Linked DNA regions of Macaca mulatta. The protein of the gene in region 1 purifies or fractionates together with the protein of each later gene. This does not show direct contact. Links are inferred from orthologs where the notes say so. Each region holds a gene or a part of one and is shown in the gene's direction. Other genes may lie near its edges. The genes, in order: ACTR3B, ARPC1A, ARPC1B, ARPC4, ARPC3 and ARPC2.

Region 1 (3,291 bases):
TTCCTTCGGAAACGTTCTCGTTAAATGAAAATAACTAACGTTAGCAGGGAGTTACAAGGCGTTTCTCCAAGATAGTAATTCTTAAGTAGCTGGTGATCACTGTGGGCTTCTAACCAAGAGTGGGCTTCGATAGCGGCAGTGGGCGCAAGGAAGAGCGCGCATGAGTCCACTGTTGGAAAAGCACAGTTTCCTTTCCTTTTTTTTTTTTTTGGAGACAGAGTCTCGCTCTGCCACCCAGGCTGGAGTGCAGTGTCGAGATCTCGGCCCACCGCAAGCTCCGCCTCTCAGGTTCACACCGTTCTCCTGCCTCAGCCTCCTGAGTAGCTGGGACTAAAGGTGTGCCCGCCACCACACCTGGCTAATTTTTGGTATTTTTAGTGGAGACGGGGTTTCACTGTGTTAGCCAGGATGGTCTCCATCACCTGACCTCGTGATCTGCCTGCATTGGCCTCCCAAAGTGCTGGGATTACAGGCATGAGCCACCTCACCCAGCCGGAAAAGCACAGTTTCTTTTAGTATTTTGGGGATGGTTAATCTTATTTGGGATGATCTCTGCGGTGCTAAAACATCTGATACGTTTGGTCAAGAAAAAGCAGTGCGGTTAATTGCCTGGATTTTGTGCTTTTTCAGCCTTGTGAGAGGCAGGTTCTGCTTGCCGGGCGCACTGTGTTCCTTTGAGCCCTGGGGGCTGGGATTGTGGTGGGTCTTAGGGGGGATTTGGCAGCAGGGGCAGAGTCACTGAGTGCTGGGTGTGAGGTTGTGCTTGTGCCAGTAAGAGGAGGGCGGCCCCGGGTGAAGCCGTGGTCTCATCAGCTGGGGGATGATTGGATCACAGATGTGTCTGTGCGCGTGGAGTGAGAGCTGCTTTCTCTTCCAGCCAAAGCCTGTGGAGGTCCAGGTGGTCACTCATCACATGCAGCGCTATGCCGTGTGGTTCGGAGGCTCCATGCTGGCCTCGACTGTAAGTCCCTCTCTCGGGCTCTGTGTTTCCATTCCTGTGCTCTCTATTGAGTTTGGGTAAATATCGTCTCTGAAGGTGAAATAGTGTGTGCCCTAATCGTGTGGCTCTAAACAGACAATTCTGTAAAATATAAATTATATCTTTTTTTTTTTTTTTGAGATGGAGTTTTACTCTGTCACCCAGGCTGGAATTTAGTGGCGCGATCTCAACTCACTGCAACCTCTGCCTCCCAGGTTTAAGCAGTTCTCCTGCCTCTGCATCCTGAGTAGCTGGGACTACAGGCGTTCACCACCACACCTGGCTAATTTTTTTTGGTTGTGTTTTTTAGAGATGGGGTTTTGCCATGTTGGCCAGGCTGGTCTTGAACTCCTAACCTCAGGTGATCCACCCCCCTCCAGCTTAGCCTCGCAGAGTGCTGGGATTACAGGCCTGAGCCTCTGCGCCCGGCCCAATATAAACTATGGTCTTAATATATCACACAACACATTTATCACTTATCCTTGCTAATTAGGGGTTACAGATAACATGGTAAGTGGAATCCAAAAATAATCTAAACAAATCCTGCATTAATCATTAATTTCAGTGACTTTTCCAAATAATTCTTACTTTTCCCCTCAAGTCTGTGAACAGCTCACACGGTGGTGGTGGGGGGTCTGTGAACAGCTTACACATTATCACATGTTGTTAGTGGGGGACCAGCATTTGGTTGGTCCTGAGAAGATAGAGGCTGATGAAATTTCTAAAAAGTGAAATGCCCCCCATTTAGTAGTTCCGTCCATCAGAGAGGTAAAACCTTGCAGCAGTGGCCCCGTGAGGGAGGGTGGAGGCCGGGATGAGGGGAGTGTCTTGCCTGCTTGGTGCTTGACTTTCTTCTGAAATGTGTGTCTTTCTGTCTGCCTGTTGCCTCTCGTAGCCCGAGTTCTTTCAGGTCTGCCACACCAAGAAGGACTATGAAGAGTACGGGCCCAGCATCTGCCGCCACAACCCCGTCTTCGGAGTCATGTCCTAGTGTCTGCCTGAAAGCGTCGTTCAGTGGTGTCACGTTGGGAAACAAGTGTCCTTCAGAACCCAGAGAAGGCCGCCGTTCTGTAAATAGCGACGTCGGTGTTGCTGCCCAGCAGCGTGCTTGCATTGCCGGTGCATGAGGCGCGGCGCGGGCCCTTCAGTAAAAGCCATTATCCGTGTGCGACCGCTGTCTGCCAGCCTCCTCCCTCACCCGCCCTCCTCTCCCTCGCTCTCCCGCCGCCCCCTCCTCTTCCGAGCTGCTAGCTGACAAATACAATTCTGAAGGAATCCAAATGTGACTGAAAATTGTTAGAGAAAACAACATTAGAAAATGGCGCAAAATCATTCTGCCCCGGGAGAGAATGTGGGGGTGCAAAACCCTTTTCCTCCCAGCCTATTTTTGTAAATAAAATGTTTAAACTTGAAATACAAATCGATGTTTATATTTCCTATCATTTTGTATTTTATGGTATTTGGTACAACTGGCTGATACTAAGCACGAATAGATATTGATGTCATGGAGTGCTGTGATCCAGAGTTTTTAATTGTGAGGCATGTTCTGATATGTTTATAGGCAAACAAATAAAACAGCAAACTTTTTTGCCACATGTTTGCTAGAAAATGATTATACTTTATTGGAGTGACATGAAGTTTGAACACTAAACAGTATTGTATGAGAATTACTACAGATCTTGTATGTTTTAGTTTTTTTGTTTGAACTTTCTGGAACTGTTTTATAGAAGATGATGGTTTGTTGTCGGTGAGTGTTGGATGAAATACTTCCTTGCACCATTGTAATAAAAGCTGTTAGAATATTTATAAATACCTTTCTGCTGTAGTGTGGTGGTCTGTTGTTTTTCTCCCTGTCGCTGTGCTTCTTTCAAAGAATATTGAGATTGTTTTACATCATTGGCGGATTTGATTAATACCCAGCTTGTGGGAGGAAATGTCTTTTTCTGAATGGTGTGGGCTGCGTGCCCTGCAGTGGCCAGAGGTATCATGGGTCTGGATAACCCATCAGAGATGGCTTATCGTGGGTCTGGATAACCCATCAGAGATGGTTTATCGTGGGTCTGGATAACCCGTCAGAGATGGTTTTGGCATCTGGGGTATAGTGGGAAGGAGCGACTAATGATTTCTGATATTCTTTCCCAGAAATTCAGGATTCATGACTGTAAGCTTTCAGTAACTACTCTGATGTTTGCTGAATGGATTGTTGGCTTGAAAGGTAGTTTGCTCAATTAATAGATTTAGGTTTATTTCGCTCTTCATATAATTCTTATAATTATGTTACTTTAAAAATTGCTATTTATGGTATTTCTTCT
Region 2 (3,500 bases), about 150 Mb from region 1:
TCACTGCAACCTCCGCCTCCTGGGTTCACGCAATTCTCCTTCCTCAGCCTCCTGAGTAGCTGGGATTACAAGCAAGGGCCACCACGCTTGGCTAATTTTGTATTTTTAGTAGAGACAGAGTTTCTCCATGTTAGTCAGGCTGGTCTCAAACTCCCAACCTCAGGTGATCCGCCTGCCTAGGCCTCCCAAAATGCTAGGATTACAGGCATGAGTCACCGTGCCCAGCCCATGTTTTTTGTTTTTATTGAGTCAACCTCTTTGCATTCTGAGATTCCTTGTGGCAGCTGCCTATGGCCTGTTTCTAGATATATATTTTTTCATTTGCTTTTTCCTTTTCTCTCTGCCCTTTAAACAGAGTGTTTTCTGCCTACATTAAAGAAGTGGATGAAAAGCCAGCCAGCACGCCCTGGGGCAGCAAGATGCCTTTTGGGCAGCTGATGTCAGAGTTTGGTGGCAGTGGCACTGGTGGCTGGGTCCACGGGGTCAGCTTCTCTGCCAGTGGGAGCCGCCTGGCCTGGGTCAGCCACGACAGCACCGTGTCTGTTGCTGATGCCTCAAAAAGTGTGCAGTGAGTATTTGCCTTTCATTTGGAAGGTGGGGAACAAGGGGTGGGATCTCTCACCAGCTGAACCAGGACTGCCCTTCCTGGTCAGTCAATCAGTCCGGGCGCGAAGGCTAACGCCTGTAATCCCAAAACTTTGGGAGGCCAAGGTGGGTGGATCACAAGGTCAAGAGTTCAAGACCAGCCTGACCAAGATGGTGAAACCCTGTCTCTACTAAAAATAAAAAATTAGCCAGGCGTGGTGGTGGGCGCCTGTAATCCCAGCTTCTCGGAAGGCTGAGGCAGAGAATTGCTTGAACCTGGGAGGCGGAGGTTGCAGTTAGCCGAGATCACGCCACTGCACTCCAGCCTGGGTGACAGAGCGAGACTCCGTCTCAAAAGAAAACAAAACAAAATAAAACAAAAGAACTCAATCAAAACTGCAGGCAGGCTGGACTTGGTGGCTCATGCCTATAATCCCAGCACTTTGGGATAGGCTGTGGGCAGATCACCTGAGGTCAAGAATTCAAGAACAGCCTGGCCAACATGGTGAAACCCTGTCTCTACTAAAAATACAAAAATTAGCCTTGCTGGGCACAGTGGCTCACACCTGTAGTCCCAGCACTTTGGTAGGCCATGGGTGGACCACCTGAGGTCAGGAGTTCAAGACCAGCCTTGGCCGGGCGCGGTGGCTCACGCCTGTAATCCCAGCACTTTGGGAGGCTAAGGCGGGCGGATCATGAGGTCAGGAGATTGAGACCATCCTGGCTAACAGGGTGAAACCCCGTCTCTACTAAAAATACAAAAACTTAGCTGGGCACGGTGGCGGGCGCCTATAGTCCCAGCTACTCAGGAGGCTGAGACAGGAGAATGGCGTGAACCCGGGAGGCGGAGCTTGCAGTGAGCCGAGATCGCGCCACTGCACTCCAGCCTGGGCGACAGCGTGAGACTCTGTCTCAAAAAAAAAAAAAAAAAAAAAAGACCAGCCTGGCCAACATGGTGAAACCCTGTCTCTACTAAAAATACAAAAATTAGCCGCAGTGGCTCACACCTGTAATCCCAGCACTTTGGGAGGCTGAGGCAGGCGGATCACTTGAGGTTAGGAGTTCGAGACCAGCCTGACCAACATGGAGAAATCCTATCTCTACTAAAAATACAGAAAATTAGCCGGACGTGGTGGCACATGCCTGTAATCCCAGCTACTCAGGAGGCTGAGTCAGGAGAATCACTTGAACCCGGGAGGCGGAGGTTGCAGTGAGCCAAGATCGCACCATTGCATTCCAGCCTGGGCAACAAATGCAGAACTCTGTCTCAAAAAAACAAAAATTTTTTTTGCCAGGTGTGGTGGCATATGCCTGTAATCCCAGCTACTCAGGAGGCTGAGGCTGGAGAATCTCTTGAACCCAAGAAGCAGAGGTTGCGGTGAGCCAAGATTGTGCCATTGCACTCCAGTCTGGGCGACAAGAACGGAACTCTGTCTCAAAAAAAAAAAAAAAAAAACTGCAAGTCAGCCTTTACCGTGACAGGCACAGATACAAATTCTCGGGTTGGAAAATTTTTAAGACCTAGGTGTTCCAGAAGTACTTCTTAATGGAAGTACTGATAATGATTCCTTTCAAGAACCCTCCTGGTTTGCTACTGATAAGGGTCGCTTAAAAAGGGCCAGTTTACGCTGGGCACAGTGGCTCACACCTATAATCCCAGCACTTTGGAAGACCAAGGTGGGTGGATCACCTGAGGTCAGGAGTTCGAGAGCAGCCTGGCCAACATGGTGAAACCCCGTCTCTACAAAAATACAAAAATTAGCCTCGCATGGTGGTGGGTGCCTGTAGTCCCAGCTACTTGGGAGGCTGAGGCAGGAGAATCGCTTGAACCCAGGAGGTGAAGATTGCAGTGAACCGAGATCATGCCAGTACACTCCGGCCTGGGCACGAGAGCAAGACTCCATCTCAAAAAAAAAAAAAAAAGGCCAGTTTAGTCTGTTACTCTGAACTCCTTACAAAATGTAAATACCATTCACCGGCCTTAAATTACATTGGAGATATATTCTTACTCAGGGTAGTCAGCAAACAATGACTTCATTAATTTGAGCCTTCCATTCAGTAAGGCTTAAAAACCATTGACGCCACTTCCTCTGCCGTGTGCTGGAAGGACTCTAATTATGGTGGCTTCTTTGTGAGTGGTGTGTCTGCTCAGCCATAAAGTACCTGGCCAAATATCAGAGTTCATTTTGTTCAATATATGTTGGAGGAAGAGAGAAGATTGGAATCCTTCTTCTTTTATCAATCTTTGTTCTTCCCTGGTGAATCCTTTTCCATTGATAGCTAAAGGAAACTCACCATTAAAGGTTTTGTGATGGACATGGCCACTTGAGTATCAAAAATCAATCACACTGGGTGACCTTTACTCCCTGTCAGGTCAGTAAGAGTCACCCAGTGTAAACAGCATGATATTTCAGACATGATACGTTTTTCCTAACAGGATTAAATGTGCATTTTTTAGCTAGTTTTACATATTTTTTTAAAGATTATCCCCTCCGGCCAGGCACAGTGGCTCATGCCTGTAATCCCAGCACTTTGGGAGGCCAAGGCAGGCAGATTGCCTGAGGTCAGGAGTTTGAGACCAGCCTGGCCAACACGGCAAAACCCTGTCTCTACTAAAAGTACAAAAATTAGCCAGGCAAGGTGGCAGGCACCTGTAATCCCAGCTACCCAGGAGGCTGAGGCAGGAGAATTGCTTGAACCCAGCAGGTGGAGGTTGCAGTGAGCTGAGATCGCACCACTGCACTCCAGCCTGGGCAACAAGAGCGAGACTCTGTCTCAAAAAAAAAAAAAAAAAAAAAAGATTGTCCCCTCCATTATAAAATGTAGTCTTTCAGAAAATTTCTCTACATAAACAAGCACTTATATATCTTTTCATTTTTAACAGAAATGAGGTTATACATTTTATACATTTTTGT
Region 3 (3,500 bases), about 150 Mb from region 1:
TTTTTTTTTTTTTTTCCTGAGATGAGTCTTACCGTGTCACCGAGCCTCCTGAGTAGTGCGTATTACAGGCAGGTGCCACGACACCTGGCTAATTTTTTTTTTTTTTTTTTTTTTTTGAGATGGAGTCTGCTTTGTGGCCCAGGCTGGAGTGCAGTGGTGCGATCTTGGCTTACTGCAAGCCCCGCCTCCCGAGTTCACACCATTCTCCTGCCTCAGCCTCCCGAGTAGCTGGGACTACAGGTGCCCGCCACCACACCCGGCTAATTTTTTGTATTTTTAGTAAAGACAGGGTTTCACCATGTTGGCCAGGCTGGTCTTGAACTCCTGGCTGCAAGTGATCCACCCACCTCGATCTCCCAAGGTGCTGGGATTACAAACATGAGCCACCAGGCCTGGCCTGGATGACTTCATCTTCATCCCATCCTTAATGGGGCAGGGAAGTTGGGGGGGGTCCATCCTGTGAGGAAACTGAGGCACAGGTGACAAGTGAGGGGCCTGTCCGGCTTGGAGTCCTAGCACCCCACCCCGCCCCAGGGAGCATCTCCCCTGTAGTACTATCTCCTCCACTCTGTCTCTGGAGCCTCAGAGATATCCCGTGAAAGCTGCCCTTTTATAAGGAGGGAAACTGAGGCCCCAGGAGGGGAAGCAACATGTCAGGCCAGTTAGGAGCCAGGGCTGGCCCCTGCTGCTCGTCTCTGCAAACAGCTGCCTCTCTAGACTGAGGGGCCTCCCTGGTGTGAGGCCCTTGAGGATCAGCTGGGGCCTGGTATCCGGGTAAAGTCAGGGGCAAGGTCAGGGCTGACGTGGATTCTCTCTTCCTTTCTTGGGCACAGGAGCCAAGCCGCCATGGCCTACCACAGCTTCCTGGTGGAGCCCATCAGCTGCCACGCCTGGAACAAGGACCGCAGCCGTGAGTGCTTGCTGGGGGTCGGTGGGTGGCTGCTTCTACCTCCTGGGATGGGGAGACTGGAGCAGCCAGGCCCCCGGACCATAGGCTCCATGCGGCTGTCCCCGGGCCTCACCCCTGGGTCTTCCAGCTGACCAGGGGTCTCCTGGGTTAAAGTTTAAGGAGGGAATGGGCCAGGTGCAGTGGCTCACGCCTGTAATCCCAGCACTTTGGGAGGCTGAGGTGGGTGGATCACTTGAGGTCAGGAGTTCCAGACCAGCCTGGCCAACATGGTGAAACCTTGTCTCTACTAAAAATGCAAAAATTAGCTGGGCGTGGAGGCATGCGCCCGTAAACCCAGCTACTGGGGAGGCTGAGGCAGGAGAATCACTTGAACCCGGGAGGCGGAGGTCGCAGTGAGCCGAGATTGCACCACTGCACTCCAGCCTGGGTGACAAAGCAAGACTCTGTCTCAAAAAAAAAAAAAAAAAAAGAAAGAAAAAGTGGCCAGGAAAAGCCTTTTGGAGGAGATGACATTTTGACATTTACACAGACACCCAGAGGAGGAGAGGGAGGGAACTCTGCCCCAGCTGGGGAGGGGCTGGCAGGTGCAGGGGCCCTGAGGTGTCAGCAGGAGCAGCGAGGGGACCCTGGCTGGCCAGAGCGATAGGGTGGGGAGAGGTCCCAGGGGTCATTGCTGCGAGTAAAGGACAGTCAGTCCCAGGAGAAGAGAGGGTGAACTGGCAGGGCCTGAAGGACTTCAGGGGGCCCCCTCCAAGGCAGAGGAGGAGAGCCTGAGTCATGAAGGATGAGGCTGTTGCCCAGGTGCACTGTGTAGTGTGTCCTGGCAGAGGGCAGTCATGGAGAGGGCCCCTCAGTCTCCCTCCATCTCCCCTGCAGAGATTGCCATCTGCCCCAACAACCATGAGGTGCACATCTACGAAAAGAGCGGTGCCAAATGGACCAAGGTGCACGAGCTCAAGGAACACAACGGGCAGGTGACAGGTATGTCAGGGTGGCTGGGACTACCCTCCTGAAAGGAGGTGGGGGGTGGGGTGCAAGGCAGGACATGGCCACTCATTATGGGGCATCTACCCACTCACTGTGAAACCCTGATTCAAACTGGCTTCAATTTTAAGGGGACTGTGTTGCCTCATGTTACCAAAAAACCCAAGAGGGTTGAGGGCTTCAGGAGAGGCTTGATCCAGCAGCTCCACATGACCAAGAACCCATCTTTTCTGCCTCTTGGCTTTGCCCTCCAGCATGTTTACTGATAGCATGGAGGGCTCTGACACTCCCTCATAAGCTCTAGGAGTGCCCCCTGGTGTCACTCTAAATAAGCACTGGATCTCAGTAAAAAGTGCTTGCTGGGCCGGGTGTGGTGGCTCATGCCTGTAATCCCAGCACTTTGGGAAGCCAAGGAGAGTGGATCGCTTGAGTTCAGGAGTTCGAGACCATCCTGGCCAACATGACAAAATGTTGAAAAATACAAAAGTTAGCCTGGTGTGGTGGCACACACCTGTAGTCCCAGATACTCCAGAGGCTGAGGCAGGAGAATCGCTTGAACCCAGGAGGCAGAGGTTGAAGTCAGCTGAGTTCACACCACTGCACTCCATCCTGGGCGACACAGCAAAACTGTGTCTCAATAAAAACAAAGAAAGAAAGAAAGAAAGAGGCTGGGTGCGGAGGCTCACACCTGTAATCCCAGCACTTTGTGAGGCTGAGGCAGGCGGATCACCTGAGGTCAGGAGTTCAAGACCAGCCTGGTCAACATGGTGAAACCCCATCTCTACTAAAATACAAAAATTAGCCAGACATGATGGTGGGTGCCTGTAATCCCAGCTACTTGGGCGGCTGAGATGTGAGAATCGCTTGAACCCGGGAGATGGTGGTTGCAGTAAGCTGAGATCACGCCACTGCACGCCAGCCTGGGCGGCTGAATGAGACGCCATGTCAAAAAAAAAGAGAAAGATTGGTGGTACACACCTGTAGTCCCAGCTACTCAGGAGGCTGAGGCACAAGGATTGCTTGAACCTGGGAGGCAGAGGTTGCAATGAGCCGAGCTCATGCCACTGCATTCCAGCCTGGGTGACAGAGTGAGACTCCATTTCAAAGAGAAAAAAAAAAAGTGCCTACTGGGCAGATAAAGCTTCCACCTTGATTGTGGCCTTTCAGCCTCTCCTGTGTGGCCACCATAGAGCCACCCCTGCCTGAGTGTCGTCAGCCTCCTGTGTCCCCTCCATCCCCCCACAGGCATCGACTGGGCCCCCGAGAGTAACCGTATTGTGACCTGCGGCACAGACCGCAATGCCTACGTGTGGACGCTGAAGGGCCGCACGTGGAAGCCCACTCTGGTCATCCTGCGGATCAACCGGGCCGCCCGCTGCGTGCGCTGGGCCCCCAATGAGAACAAGTTTGCTGTGGGCAGCGGCTCCCGTGTCATCTCCATCTGTTATTTCGAGCAGGAGAACGACTGGTGGGTACCTGGGCGGGGCTGGAGTGGGCTGGTAGGGACCTGGGGGCAGGACTAGAGTTTCCCCGGGAAGCACCAAATGGGATGTCGGGACCCCTGTTCCCATGACCCCTGGGGAGTCCATCCTCTCCTCTCTGGGCC
Region 4 (3,439 bases), on another chromosome or scaffold:
ACTAGTGAAATGAGAATGGGAAGGGCAGCTTGGAGTACAGTTGTAGACTCTGAAAGAAGCCATAGAAGACTATAAGAATTACCTCTCTGGAATGGGTCCTCATTAACAGATGGCCCAAGGTAGACCCTTGTTTCAGCTGGCAGCCAGGTCCCCCACTTCAGTGATCCTTCCGAGTACCAAACCTCACTGTCTCCTGGGAGCCTTGGAGAAATTGGAGTCAGAAGACCAGGCTACAAGGTGTTTTTGGCCTTGGGTGTCAGCTTTAGAGAAACGTTTCTCTCTTGCACTCCGCAGGCCGATGAGATCGAGAAGATTTTATGCCACAAGTTCATGCGCTTCATGATGATGCGAGCAGAGAACTTCTTTATCCTTCGAAGGAAGCCTGTGGAGGTGAGACCCTGTGACCCATGAGTTTGCGATACCCAGGACCCTGCGTATCGCAATGGCCTGGGATTGTTTCTAGAACCAGGATCAGTGCTCCTCCAGCTGTTTGGCACCCACTGCCTGAATTGACAGTTGGCCTTCATCTCAGAGTGGGAGCAAAGAGGATTAGAAACTTAGGAAAAGTTGGGTCTACCTCAGCCATAGAAAAGGTGAAAAAGGGCCGGGTGTGGTGACTCACGCCTGTAATCCTAGCACTTTGGGAGACCGAGGTGGGTGGATCACGAGGTCAGGAGTTCAAGACCAGCCTGGCCAACATGGTGCAACCTCGTCTCTACTAAAAATACAAAAATTAGCTGGGCGTTGTGGTGGGCACCTGTAATCCCAACTACTCAGGAGGCTGAGGCAGAGAACTAACTGCTTAAACCTAGGAGGCGGAGGTTGCAGTGAGCCGAGATCGTGCCACTGCACTGCAGCCTGGGCAACAGAGCAAGACTCCGTCTCAGAAAAAAAAAAGGCAGAAAAGGTAAGACATATTGCTTATTCCCAGAGCCTATAGTCTAGCATCAGAAAGAGCTCAGTGAATTAGAAATCCTTTCTAAGCTCTGCCAACTGAATCATAGTCTCTCTCTCTCTTTTTTTTTTTTTTTGGAGATGGAGTTTTGCTCTTGTTGCCCAGGCTGGAGTACAGTGGCACAATCTCACTCACTGCAGCCTCCACCTCCCAGGTCAAGCGAGTCTCCTGCCTCAGCCTCCTGAGTAGCTGGGATTACAGGCATACGCTACCACACCTGGCTAATTTTGTATTTTTAGTAGAGACAGGGTTTCATTGTGTTGGCCAGGCTGGTCTCGGAACTCCTGACCTCAGGTGATCTGCCTGCTTCGGCCTCCCAAAGTGAATCATAGTCTCTCTTTTTTTTTTTTTTTATTTTTGAGACGGAGTCTCGGAGGCTCCGTCGCCCAGGCTGGAGTGCAGTGGCGCAGTCTCAGCTCACTGCAAACTCCACCTCCCAGGTTCATGCCATCCTCCTGCCTCAGCCTCCCAAGTAGCTGGGACTACAGGTGCCTGCCACCATGCCCGGCTTATTTTTTTGTATTTTTAATAGAGACGGGGTTTCACCGTGTTAGCCAGGATGATCTTGATCTCCTGACCTCATGATCCACCTGCCTCAGCTAGGTTTACAGGCGTGAGCCACTGCGCCCAGCCTCTTTTTTCTTTCTTTTTTTTTTTTTTTTTTTTTTTTTGAGACAGAGTCTCGCTGTGTCGCACAGGCTGGAATGCAGTGGCGTGATCTTGGCTCACTGCAAGCTCCGCCTCCTGGGTTCATGCCATTCTCCTGCCTCAGCCTCCCAAGTAGCTGGGACTACAGGCGCCTGCCACCACACCTGGCTAATTTTTTGTATTTTTAGTAGAGACAGGGTTTCACCGTGTTAGCCAGGATGGTCTTGATCTCCTGACCTCGTGATCCACCCACCTCGGCCTCCCAAAGTGCTGGGATTACAGGCATAAACCACCACGCCCGGCCCACCAAATCAGTCTTTTAAAGCCACAGTTAACATTGGGTCAGTTGTTGCCTGAATTTTTACTTGAATCTTCTCCACAGACTCCTTGCCAGGTCAACTTAAAATATCCCCAGTGACTGAGCAACTACCACACAGCAGCATGTGCCATCATCAGACACGTCAGGCGTGTTGGCCAAGTTCTTCCTCATCCTGAGCCAAATTTTCTCTCCTGGTCCTAGATCTAACCTCTGGGGCCACCTGGAATAAATAAAATTGCTCTTCCTCCCACAGCCCTCCAGCAGAAAAAGACCTTAATCCCACCCATCTTCCACATCATCTCTTCTCTGAACGAAATGTTCCCTGTTGTTTGATTAGATTCTTCTGTAACAAGACTTCAAGTCCCTTGACTCATTCTCAATGCAGAGTTCTTTGTGCCACAGATAGTCTTCCAGAGATGTCTGATACACACAGAATTCTCAACTGGGTTCAGTTGCTTGGATCCAACCTAGACACCCTCTCCCCCAGAGCAGCTGGGCTGCTGACTGGAAGGGTGTGTAGCTTGGGAGAAGATCACAGCCAGTGGGAACCATGTGGATGAGTGGAGGACGTGACCAGCTTAGTTCCCCTGGGGTGCTAATTCTCTCCTGTTCCTTCTCTTCCTCCTCCCTACTGTCTTCTTCCCTAGGGATATGATATCAGCTTTCTGATCACCAACTTCCACACAGAGCAGATGTACAAACACAAGTTGGTAGACTTTGTGATCCACTTCATGGAGGAGATTGACAAGGAGATCAGTGAGATGAAGCTGTCAGTCAATGCCCGTGCCCGCATTGTGGCTGAGGAGTTCCTTAAGAATGTGAGTAGGGGCCTTTCAGCTTTCCTTCCAGAGGCCAAAGGATCTGGGGGTCATGTTGAGAACTTAGCATCTGGTGGGAAAGGGGTCCAAGCAGTGTGTTTATATCTTCTGAGCTCTCTAGGACCCCTGGGCACAGCAGGTCAGTCAGGTGCTTTGGAGCCAGAGGACCCCAAGTTCATCTCTGAGAGCTACAAGGCGTTTTCTATGTTTGGGTGTCTGGGATGTCTCCTAGTCCCTCATAGGAACTTGGACACTCATTTCTACATCTCAAGATATTCACAAAGGCCTTACCTCTATCTCATTCAAACCCCAAGCGAGGCAAGTGAAGTCTGCATGTGAATTTTCTAGGAATATAGGACAGTTAATCATGTTATAATTCCACTTCTCAAATAGACTTCAGTACTTCCCTTCAGCATGTTTCTCAGGCTTAGTCGTGATTCCTTCAACCTGTTTTCTATCACTTGCATGATATCAGTCCTCCAGATTCCTCTTACATTGTTTATGCCTTTCTAATTGAAAGCACGTAGTCATTTGAAGAGGTAGAATTGTTTACATTGATGAACTGATGACATAGTTCTTAGTTGTTTAGATATTCAGAACATGCCTTCTTTTTTTTTCTCCTTTTTCCAAACAATCTTCGGTTTGTTGATATGTTCCACCCAGAGTGGCTGTGATCTCTAGATGGTAGACTTAGTGTAT
Region 5 (4,273 bases), on another chromosome or scaffold:
GTGGAGAAAAAGTGAAGGACCCGATTCCAGTGCCTTCCCCACTGGACACTAGGGTTTCAAAGATGAATCTGACAATTCCAGTCCTCGAGGATTTCACTGTCTCATAGGCAGGGCTGACATGATTCTTTACACAAATTTACTGAAGTTCTATGGATGCCAGGTACTGGGGATAGAACAGGGACTCACAGTGCAGGCAGCGCTTTGCTCACGTGGGGCTGTCATGCTGGGCTGTGAGACTGAACCTCGGAGAGAGGATGGAAAGAACAGAAAGCAGAAAAGAAATGGAGAGTGACTATGGGGCTACTTTGGGCTCTTTGTCAAAAAAGACCTTGCCTAAAAGGTGCTATTTGCCCAGTCACCTGAATGCGAAATCAGATGTGGGAACATGGGGCTCTATTCCAGGCTGCGAACTGGCAGAAGAAATGGCTCTCAGGTAGCAATGAACTTGACTTTTAACGTAAGTTTTCTAGTAATAAATAGGTTAAAAACTCCTGGGCTTTCGGTATGCTCCAAGCATGTAAGTTCTAAGCATTTTACATGTAATTCATTTCATCGTCACAAAATTATGAGGTAAATATTGTTACAACCATTTTCAGGTGAGGAACTGAAGTACAGAGGCAAGTTAACTTGCTCAAAATTATAGAGCTAGTATGTATTGAAGCTGCGATTCAGATTCCAGTGCCCTTCAGTTTCTCCATTTTTAGATGCAGTGCATTGGGTTCATTCATTTACTCAAATACTGATGTTTCCTACATACCATCACTGTTACAGGCGCCAGGGGACAAAACGGGCGAAGTGCTGTCTGGCATTTACAAGGATAGGGAGACAAGCACTAAGAGTAAACTAAATACAAGAATCATAAGAACTAAGGGAAAAAGCGGGAGAGAAGGATAAGGCATGGGGCTGGAGTCGGGTGAATTGAAAACAGAATGACCAGAGGCGGCTTCACAGGAAAGGTGTTTTGTTTGTTTGTTTAAGATAGAGTCACACTCTCACCCAGGCTAGAGTGCAGCGGCACGATCTTGGCTCACCGCAAACTCCGCCTCCCAGGTTCAAGCGATTATTCTGCCTCAGCCTCCCGAGTAGCTGGGATGCTACCACGCCCAGCTAAGTTTTGTATTTTTAGTAGAGACGAGATTTCACCATCCAGGCTGGTCTCGGACTCCTGACTTCAGGTAATCCACCCGCCTCGGCCTCCCAAAGTGCTGGGATTACAGGCATGAGCCACTATGCCCGGCCCTGAAAAGGTGAAATTTGAAAAAAACACAAAAGAGGTGATTGATCGAAGATTCTGGAACCTCAAGACCCATCTCCATTCTGCGCGCGCCTCACGCTGCGCCACTCTGAGGGCCCCTACCTAGCGCTCTGGCGCCCCCTTTCAGATCCGCGCGGCCGCTGCAACCAGAGGCGGAACTACAAAGCCGGAAGCTCACGTCATCACCCCGCCCCTTCCGTTTCGCTTCCGCCTACCCCGCCCGGGCTGCAAGACCGGAAGCGCTCTGCTCTACCTGGATTCTGCTCCTCTGGGTTGGAACCCGGGTGCTGCCAAGATGCCGGTGAGGGTTCGATCCATGGTGTGGGGAGACAGCGGGGATTGCGAAAAGCGGGGAGAAACCTTGTGTGTGCCGAGAGAAGCGGGCGGCGGAAGGCAGAGAGGAAGCGGGGGCCCGAGAAGGAGTGAGGCGAGGGGAGGGGACCGGTCGCTGAAGAATTGGGACAGCCCGCGGGTGCCAGTCGTGGGAGGCGGGGGCGCGGCAGGAGTGGGCCCGGGGTCCAGGGGTCCAGGGTGTGTGAGGAGGCCCTCTTCTCTCTCTCTCCGTCTACTCCTTCCGGCTCCGGCAGGGTTCCCAAAGCGTCACTACAGCGCGAAGCCAAGGGTTGCCCTTTTTATTTTTCATATTTCAAGTCCAGGGTCTAGCTTCTCCTTTTTCTGTGAGGCCCACTTCCTCCTCCGCCCCGGGGGGCAGGCTCCCTCTGCTGTTTGTCATTTGTCAGAACCCACTTCCCGGCAGCGGCGGCCACCCCGGAGCCACCTGGGTATAGGGCCCTCACAGACTCGGTCGGCGCCTGACTTCCAAAGATTTCCTTTTTCGTGTGCATCAGAGTGGGAGTAAAAATCTATGACGGTCTGGTTGTACTTAATTTCTGACAGGCAGTCTGTGGGCTAGATTTATCACCATCATGGTCTCCATTTTGCAGATTCGGGAAAAGGTGGTTCGGTTATTGTGTGATTGTTCACACTTTTTTTGTTTTTTGAGAGAGTCTCGTTCTGTCGTCCAGGCTGGAGTGCAGTGAGGCGATCTCGGCTCACTACAACCTCCGCCACCTTGGTTCAAGCAGTCCTCGTGCCTCAGCCTCCTGGGTAGCTGGGATTACAGGCGCGCGCCACCACGCCCAGCTAATTTTTTGCATTTTAGTAGGGACGGGGGTTTCACCATGTTGGCTGGGCTGGGCTGGAACTCCAGACCTCAGGTGATCCGCCCCCTCGGCCTCCCAAAGTGATGGGATTATAGACATGAGCCACCGCGCCCAGCCTGCTCACACATTATTTTTAACAAACGTTACCGAGCACCTACTGCCTGCCAGGCTCTATTTACAGCAGCAAATAAGTTCAACAAATCCCTAATCTTAAACAGTGTACGTTCAAATCGGGAGACGAGACAATAAAAGTGTAAACATAAAGGAGATACATACAGTAGTGTCAGGTAGTGACAAATGCTATAAAGAAGCTAGATGGATGGCCAGGCGCGGTGGCTCACGCCTGTAATCCCAGCACTTTGGGAGGCCTAGGCGGATGGATCACGAGGTCAGGAGTTCAAGACCAGCCTGGCCAACATGGTGAAACTCCATCTCTACTAAAAATAAAAAAATTAGCTGGGCGTAGTGGCGCGTGCCTGTAATCCCAGCTACTTGGGAGGCTGAGGCAGGAGAATCGCTTGAACCCAGGAGGTGGAGGTTGCAGTGAGCCAAGACTGTGCCACTGCACTCCAGCCTGGCCACAGAGTGAGACTCTGACCCCCCCACTCCAAAAAAAAGAAACTAGATAGGTAACAAGACAGTTTGGTGAAAGGGAAGGCAGAGGGTGCTTTACATAAAGTATACTTGTGATGAAAAGGAGCAAGCCATAGTTGCAAATACATATATATATAGATATATATAGATAGATTTTTTTTTTTTTTTTTTTTTGAGACAGGGTTACACCCCGTCTCTGAGACTGCAGTGCAGTGACACAAACTTGGCTCAGGTGATCCTCCCACCTCAGCCTCCTGAGCAGCTGAGACTACAGGTGTACATCACCACGCCCAGCTAAGTTTTTCTATTTTCAGTAGAGACAGGGTCTCACCATGTTGCCCAGGCTGGTCTCAAACTTCTGGGCTCAAGCAGTCCTCCTGCCTCGACCTCCCTGAGTGTTGGGATTACAGGCGTGAGCCACCTCATTCAGCCTCACAAATACATATTTTATGAATTCCGTAATTACCATTTGACTCCTGAGCTCTGGGGTACACACTTTATAAATTATCCCATCTAATCCTCATAATGACCCTGTGAAGTAGGTACCATGATTCCTATTTTACAGAAGAGGAAACGGAACCTCAGAGAAGTTAATTTGGACAAAGTTGCCTACTAATGGTAAAACCAGATTTTAAGCCAGGACTCTAGGCTGGGTACAGTGGCTTATGCCTGTAATCCCAACACTTTAGGAGGCCAAGATGGGAGGATCACTTGAGCCCAGGAGTTTGAGACCAACCTGGGCAACATAATGAGACCCTGCCTCTACAAAAATAAGAATAAATTAACTGGATGTGGTAGTGCATCTCCTCCCAGCCTCTCAAGAGGCTGAGGTGGGAGGATCACCTGGAGCCAGGAGTTTGAGGCTGCAGTGAGCTGTGATCATGCCACTGTACTCCAGCCTGGGTGAGAGGAGACTCTGTCTCCAAAAAAAAAGGACTCTAAAGCCCTGTACTGGCTCCAGTTGCACATAGAGCACCCTGGATTCACCCTGGGTTGGTTGGTTGGTTGGTTTGTTTGAGATGGAGTCTCGCTCTGTACCAGGCTGAAGTGCAGTGGTGCGATCTCGGCTCACTGCAACCTCTGCCTCCTGTGTTCAGGTAATTCTCGTGCCTCAGCCTCCCAAGTAGCTGGGAATACAGGCATGTGCTACCACACCCGGCTAATTTTTGTATTTTTAGTAGAGATGGGGTTTCACCATGTTGGTCTGGATGGTCTCTATCTTTTGGCCTTGTGATCTGTCAGCCTCGGCCTCCCAAAGTGT
Region 6 (3,500 bases), on another chromosome or scaffold:
AGTCTCACTCTGTCACCCAGGCTGGAGTGCAGTGGCGCTCATAATCTGCTCACTGCAGCCTCCACCTCCCGAGTTCAAGCGATTCTCCTGCCTCTGCCTCTCAAGTGGCTGGGACTACAGATTCCTACCACCACAGCCAGCTAATTTTTTTTTTTTCCCACACTGCATCTTGCTGTGTCCCCCAAACTTGAGTGCAATGGCGCAATCTCAGCGCACTGCAACCTCTACCCCTGGGTTCAAGTGATTCTCCTGTCTCAGCCTCCCAAGTAGCTGGGATTACAGGCGTGTGCCACCACGCCAAGCTAATATTTTGTATTTTTAGTAGAGACAGTTCCACCATGTTGGCCAGGATGGTTTTGAACTCCTGACCTCCAGTGATCCACCCACCTCAGCCTCCCAAAGTGCTAGGTTAACAGGCTTGAGCCACCGTGCCCGGCCTTGACTGAATATTTGATATTAAGAAATTGTTTTTAAAAATTTAGGCATGACACTTGTATCATGGTTATGTTTTTTAACAGTCTTCTGTATCTTCCAAAGATACATTCTGAAGTATTTATGGATGAAATTATGTGTCGTGTCTGGGATTTGCTTCAAAATAAATCAATGGGAAGGAGGATGTCTAAATGAAACAATAATTACCCATGTGTTAATAATTGTTGAGGCCGGGCGAGGTGGTTCACGCCTGTAATCCCAGCACTTTGGGCGGCCGAGGTGGGCAGATCATGAGGTCAGGAGTTCAAGACCAGCCTGGCCAACATAGTGAAACCCTGTCTGCACTAAAAATACAAAAATTAGCCGGGTGTGGTAGCACATGCTGTAGTCCCAGCTACTCGGGAGGCTGAGGCAGGAGAATCTCTTGAACCCGGGAGGCAGAGGTTGCAGTGAGCCGAGATCATGCCGTTGCACTCCAGCCTGGGTAACAGAGTAAGACTCTGTCTCAAAAAAAAAAAAAAAAAAAAGTTGAAGCCTCATGGTGGAGATGGGAGTTCATTATACTGTTTGTTCTGATTGTATACATGTAAAATCCAATTATTTCAGCACCAAGCTGTGATTAAGGAAAGAATAGCTTTGTAATTTTAAGAAAGGGCAAAGAGATGAGTACTCAGCAATTCTATCCCAGTGTTTCTGCTGATTTGTCACATGGATTTAAAATAAATTCCGTTTTACTTATATGCCTCCTTGTAACAGGTCTTCCTTGTGGCCTACAGCAAGGTAGGCGCTTGGAGAGATTATTTCCCATTTCCAAATTGTTATACGATCTTACTTGCTTTCCTCACAGATTTTGATGGGGTCCTCTATCATATTTCAAATCCTAATGGAGACAAAACAAAAGTGATGGTCAGTATTTCTTTGAAATTCTACAAGGAACTTCAGGCACATGGTGCTGATGAGGTAAGGTCCACATCATTTTCCGTAGGACTCTTGTTTCCTCACCTTTTATTGGCAGTTTGCCATTCATGGAAGATCCATGGCACTAAATCACCCCCGCATGACTACTTGCTCACCTAACTAGGGGCTCTTGACTTGATTACTATAATGAATTAAGTGTGTCTCTAGAAAAGGTTTTGACTCTTTCTTGCTTGCTTTAAAACAATGGAAACGAAAACAACTTTAGTTCTCCAAAAACATAGCAAAGAATACTTTTCCTTGATCAGGACAAAAATAGCTGTTGCAAGAATTAGGTTCTGTCCTATTTTTGTAATATTATCAAGGCAAATAGATAATTTCTAGCTTGTTTAAATTTTATTGTCTCAGGTTCTCATTCTGGAAGCTTAGGCACAAATAGCTGTCTTTTGAAATTTTTAATTAAAGCTCTTTAAAGCTACCCTCTTTAAATATCTCTTCTTTATAACTGCCATAGGGGAAATAAGAAAGGACGTCCAGACATTATGAAACTTCGGTGGCCATGCCTTGTTCACTGGCTTCTTTAAATAGTTAAGTAGCAGGTTTGGTTCCTGTTGAACTGTATTTGCTCTGGGGAGAACCATTTATGGAAGAAAGAAAATGCTATTACACCAGTTTGTGCACGTTGTGGTTGGGTCTCAAAGCAGGAAATATGACTCAGTTCCTGAATCAGTTTTCAAATTTCTTAGTTTTAACAAACTAGGTTCTCCTTAATCTGTTAAATGAAGATATAATCGTAGCTGTTTTCTTTTTGAAAAGTAGTAGCTTTTAAATTATTTAAAATTTATATAATAAAAGATGATTTGTAAAGGAATATGGTCAAAAGCTTGTTTAATTTTTTAGCATAAAAACTGAAGTTGGTCTTACTTAATACCAAGAGCGATCAGTTACTTCCCTTAGTTATTCAAATGCAATTGATTTTCTCATAAGTTCAAAGAAAGAAGAAACATTTAGAGAATTTGGAATCCTGGTTACTTTACTGGAAAAAGAAAAGCTTCAGAAAGATCTAGTGCTTTTATAAAGCTTTTGAAGAATTGTTTTGTAAAAGATAGTGGCTGACACTTCTTTACCAGATAAAGAGCGAAAGAAAACAAATGGCTATTAAAGCAGCCCTGCCTTTTTTTTTTTTTTTTTTTTTGAGATTGAGTCTCCCTCTGTTGCCCAGGCTGGACTGCAGTAGTGCTGTCTCGGCTCACTGCAGCCTCTGCCTCCTGGATTCAAGCATTCATCTGCCTCAGCCTCTTGAGCAGCTGGGATTACAGGCAAGCACCACTACACCTGGCTAATTTTTTGTGTTTTTCATAGAGATGGGGTTTCACCACGTTGGCCAGACTATTCTCGAACTACTGACATCAGGTGATCTGCCTGCCTCGACCTCCCAAAGTGCTAAGATTGCAAGTGTGAGCCACTGTGCCCAGCCCTTTTTTTTTTTTTTTTTTTTAAACAAGGTCTTGCTCTGTCACCTAGGCTGGAGTGCAGTGGCACAATCACAGCTACTGCACCCTCAACTTCACAGGCTCAAGCAGTCCTCTCACCTCAGCCTCTTGAGTGGCTGGGACTACAGGCACGTGCCACCACACCTAGCTTATTTTTTGTTTTGTTTTGTTTTATAGACAGGAGGTTTCACTATGTTGCCCAGGCTAGTCTCGAACTCCTGGGCTCAAGCAATCCTCCTTCCTGGGCCTCCCAAAGTGCTGGTATTATAGATGTGAGCCACCACGTCCAGCTGCAGCCCTGCTTTGAATTAGCTATAACTACCTGATAAGAAGTGTCACAGTATTTGAACAGACGTTTTTTAAATTGTGTAATCATTCTCCCCTAGACAGTCTTCACTAGGTGCGAGCCTGCGCAGTGGCATGCACCTGTAGTGCCAACTACTTGGGGGTTCAAGTGGGGAGGATCGCTGGAGCCCAGGAGCTCAAGTCCAGCCTGGACAACATAGTGAGATTCCATCTCAAAAAAGGGAAAAGATCTAAATGCAATAATAATAATCCTGAAAAGAAAGAGTTAAGCTAGATTTCTTATATCTCCTTTCCATTCTGTGCTTTTCTTACAATGGAGCTCCAGAACACATTGCTATTCTTCTAGCCACCACA

Evidence for each region.
Region 2: the proteins of ACTR3B (region 1) and ARPC1A purify together in Homo sapiens (affinity purification with mass spectrometry; 5 studies listed by BioGRID and IntAct, counting the BioPlex papers as one, with this or other methods). This does not show direct contact. The link is inferred for Macaca mulatta from reciprocal best matches to the Homo sapiens genes ACTR3B and ARPC1A.
Region 3: the proteins of ACTR3B (region 1) and ARPC1B purify together in Homo sapiens (affinity purification with mass spectrometry; 5 studies listed by BioGRID and IntAct, counting the BioPlex papers as one, with this or other methods). This does not show direct contact. The link is inferred for Macaca mulatta from reciprocal best matches to the Homo sapiens genes ACTR3B and ARPC1B.
Region 4: the proteins of ACTR3B (region 1) and ARPC4 purify together in Homo sapiens (affinity purification with mass spectrometry; 5 studies listed by BioGRID and IntAct, counting the BioPlex papers as one, with this or other methods). This does not show direct contact. The link is inferred for Macaca mulatta from reciprocal best matches to the Homo sapiens genes ACTR3B and ARPC4.
Region 5: the proteins of ACTR3B (region 1) and ARPC3 purify together in Homo sapiens (affinity purification with mass spectrometry; 6 studies listed by BioGRID and IntAct, counting the BioPlex papers as one, with this or other methods). This does not show direct contact. The link is inferred for Macaca mulatta from reciprocal best matches to the Homo sapiens genes ACTR3B and ARPC3.
Region 6: the proteins of ACTR3B (region 1) and ARPC2 purify together in Homo sapiens (affinity purification with mass spectrometry; 6 studies listed by BioGRID and IntAct, counting the BioPlex papers as one, with this or other methods). This does not show direct contact. The link is inferred for Macaca mulatta from reciprocal best matches to the Homo sapiens genes ACTR3B and ARPC2.

What each region holds. Positions count from the first base shown.
Region 1 is NC_133408.1:192,281,514-192,284,804, forward strand, and holds the end of ACTR3B (actin-related protein 3B), read left to right. Parts: intron 1-877; coding exon 878-961; intron 962-1,874; coding exon 1,875-1,970; 3' UTR 1,971-2,791; downstream 2,792-3,291. UniProt on the Homo sapiens protein: Plays a role in the organization of the actin cytoskeleton.
Region 2 is NC_133408.1:46,586,768-46,590,267, forward strand, and holds part of ARPC1A (actin-related protein 2/3 complex subunit 1A), read left to right. Parts: intron 1-355; coding exon 356-568; intron 569-3,500. UniProt on the Homo sapiens protein: Probably functions as a component of the Arp2/3 complex which is involved in regulation of actin polymerization and together with an activating nucleation-promoting factor (NPF) mediates the formation of branched actin networks.
Region 3 is NC_133408.1:46,617,962-46,621,461, forward strand, and holds part of ARPC1B (actin-related protein 2/3 complex subunit 1B), read left to right. Parts: intron 1-833; 5' UTR 834-846; coding exon 847-910; exon of another isoform or gene 911-935; intron 936-1,737; exon of another isoform or gene 1,738-1,746; coding exon of another isoform or gene 1,747-1,786; coding exon 1,787-1,891; intron 1,892-3,139; coding exon 3,140-3,362; intron 3,363-3,500. UniProt on the Homo sapiens protein: Component of the Arp2/3 complex, a multiprotein complex that mediates actin polymerization upon stimulation by nucleation-promoting factor (NPF).
Region 4 is NC_133407.1:148,589,266-148,592,704, forward strand, and holds part of ARPC4 (actin-related protein 2/3 complex subunit 4), read left to right. Parts: intron 1-294; coding exon 295-390; intron 391-2,569; coding exon 2,570-2,740; intron 2,741-3,439. UniProt on the Homo sapiens protein: Actin-binding component of the Arp2/3 complex, a multiprotein complex that mediates actin polymerization upon stimulation by nucleation-promoting factor (NPF).
Region 5 is NC_133416.1:117,616,724-117,620,996, reverse strand, and holds the start of ARPC3 (actin-related protein 2/3 complex subunit 3), read left to right. Parts: upstream 1-1,473; 5' UTR 1,474-1,550; coding exon 1,551-1,556; intron 1,557-4,273. UniProt on the Homo sapiens protein: Component of the Arp2/3 complex, a multiprotein complex that mediates actin polymerization upon stimulation by nucleation-promoting factor (NPF).
Region 6 is NC_133417.1:123,440,737-123,444,236, forward strand, and holds part of ARPC2 (actin-related protein 2/3 complex subunit 2), read left to right. Parts: intron 1-1,279; coding exon 1,280-1,392; intron 1,393-3,500. UniProt on the Homo sapiens protein: Actin-binding component of the Arp2/3 complex, a multiprotein complex that mediates actin polymerization upon stimulation by nucleation-promoting factor (NPF).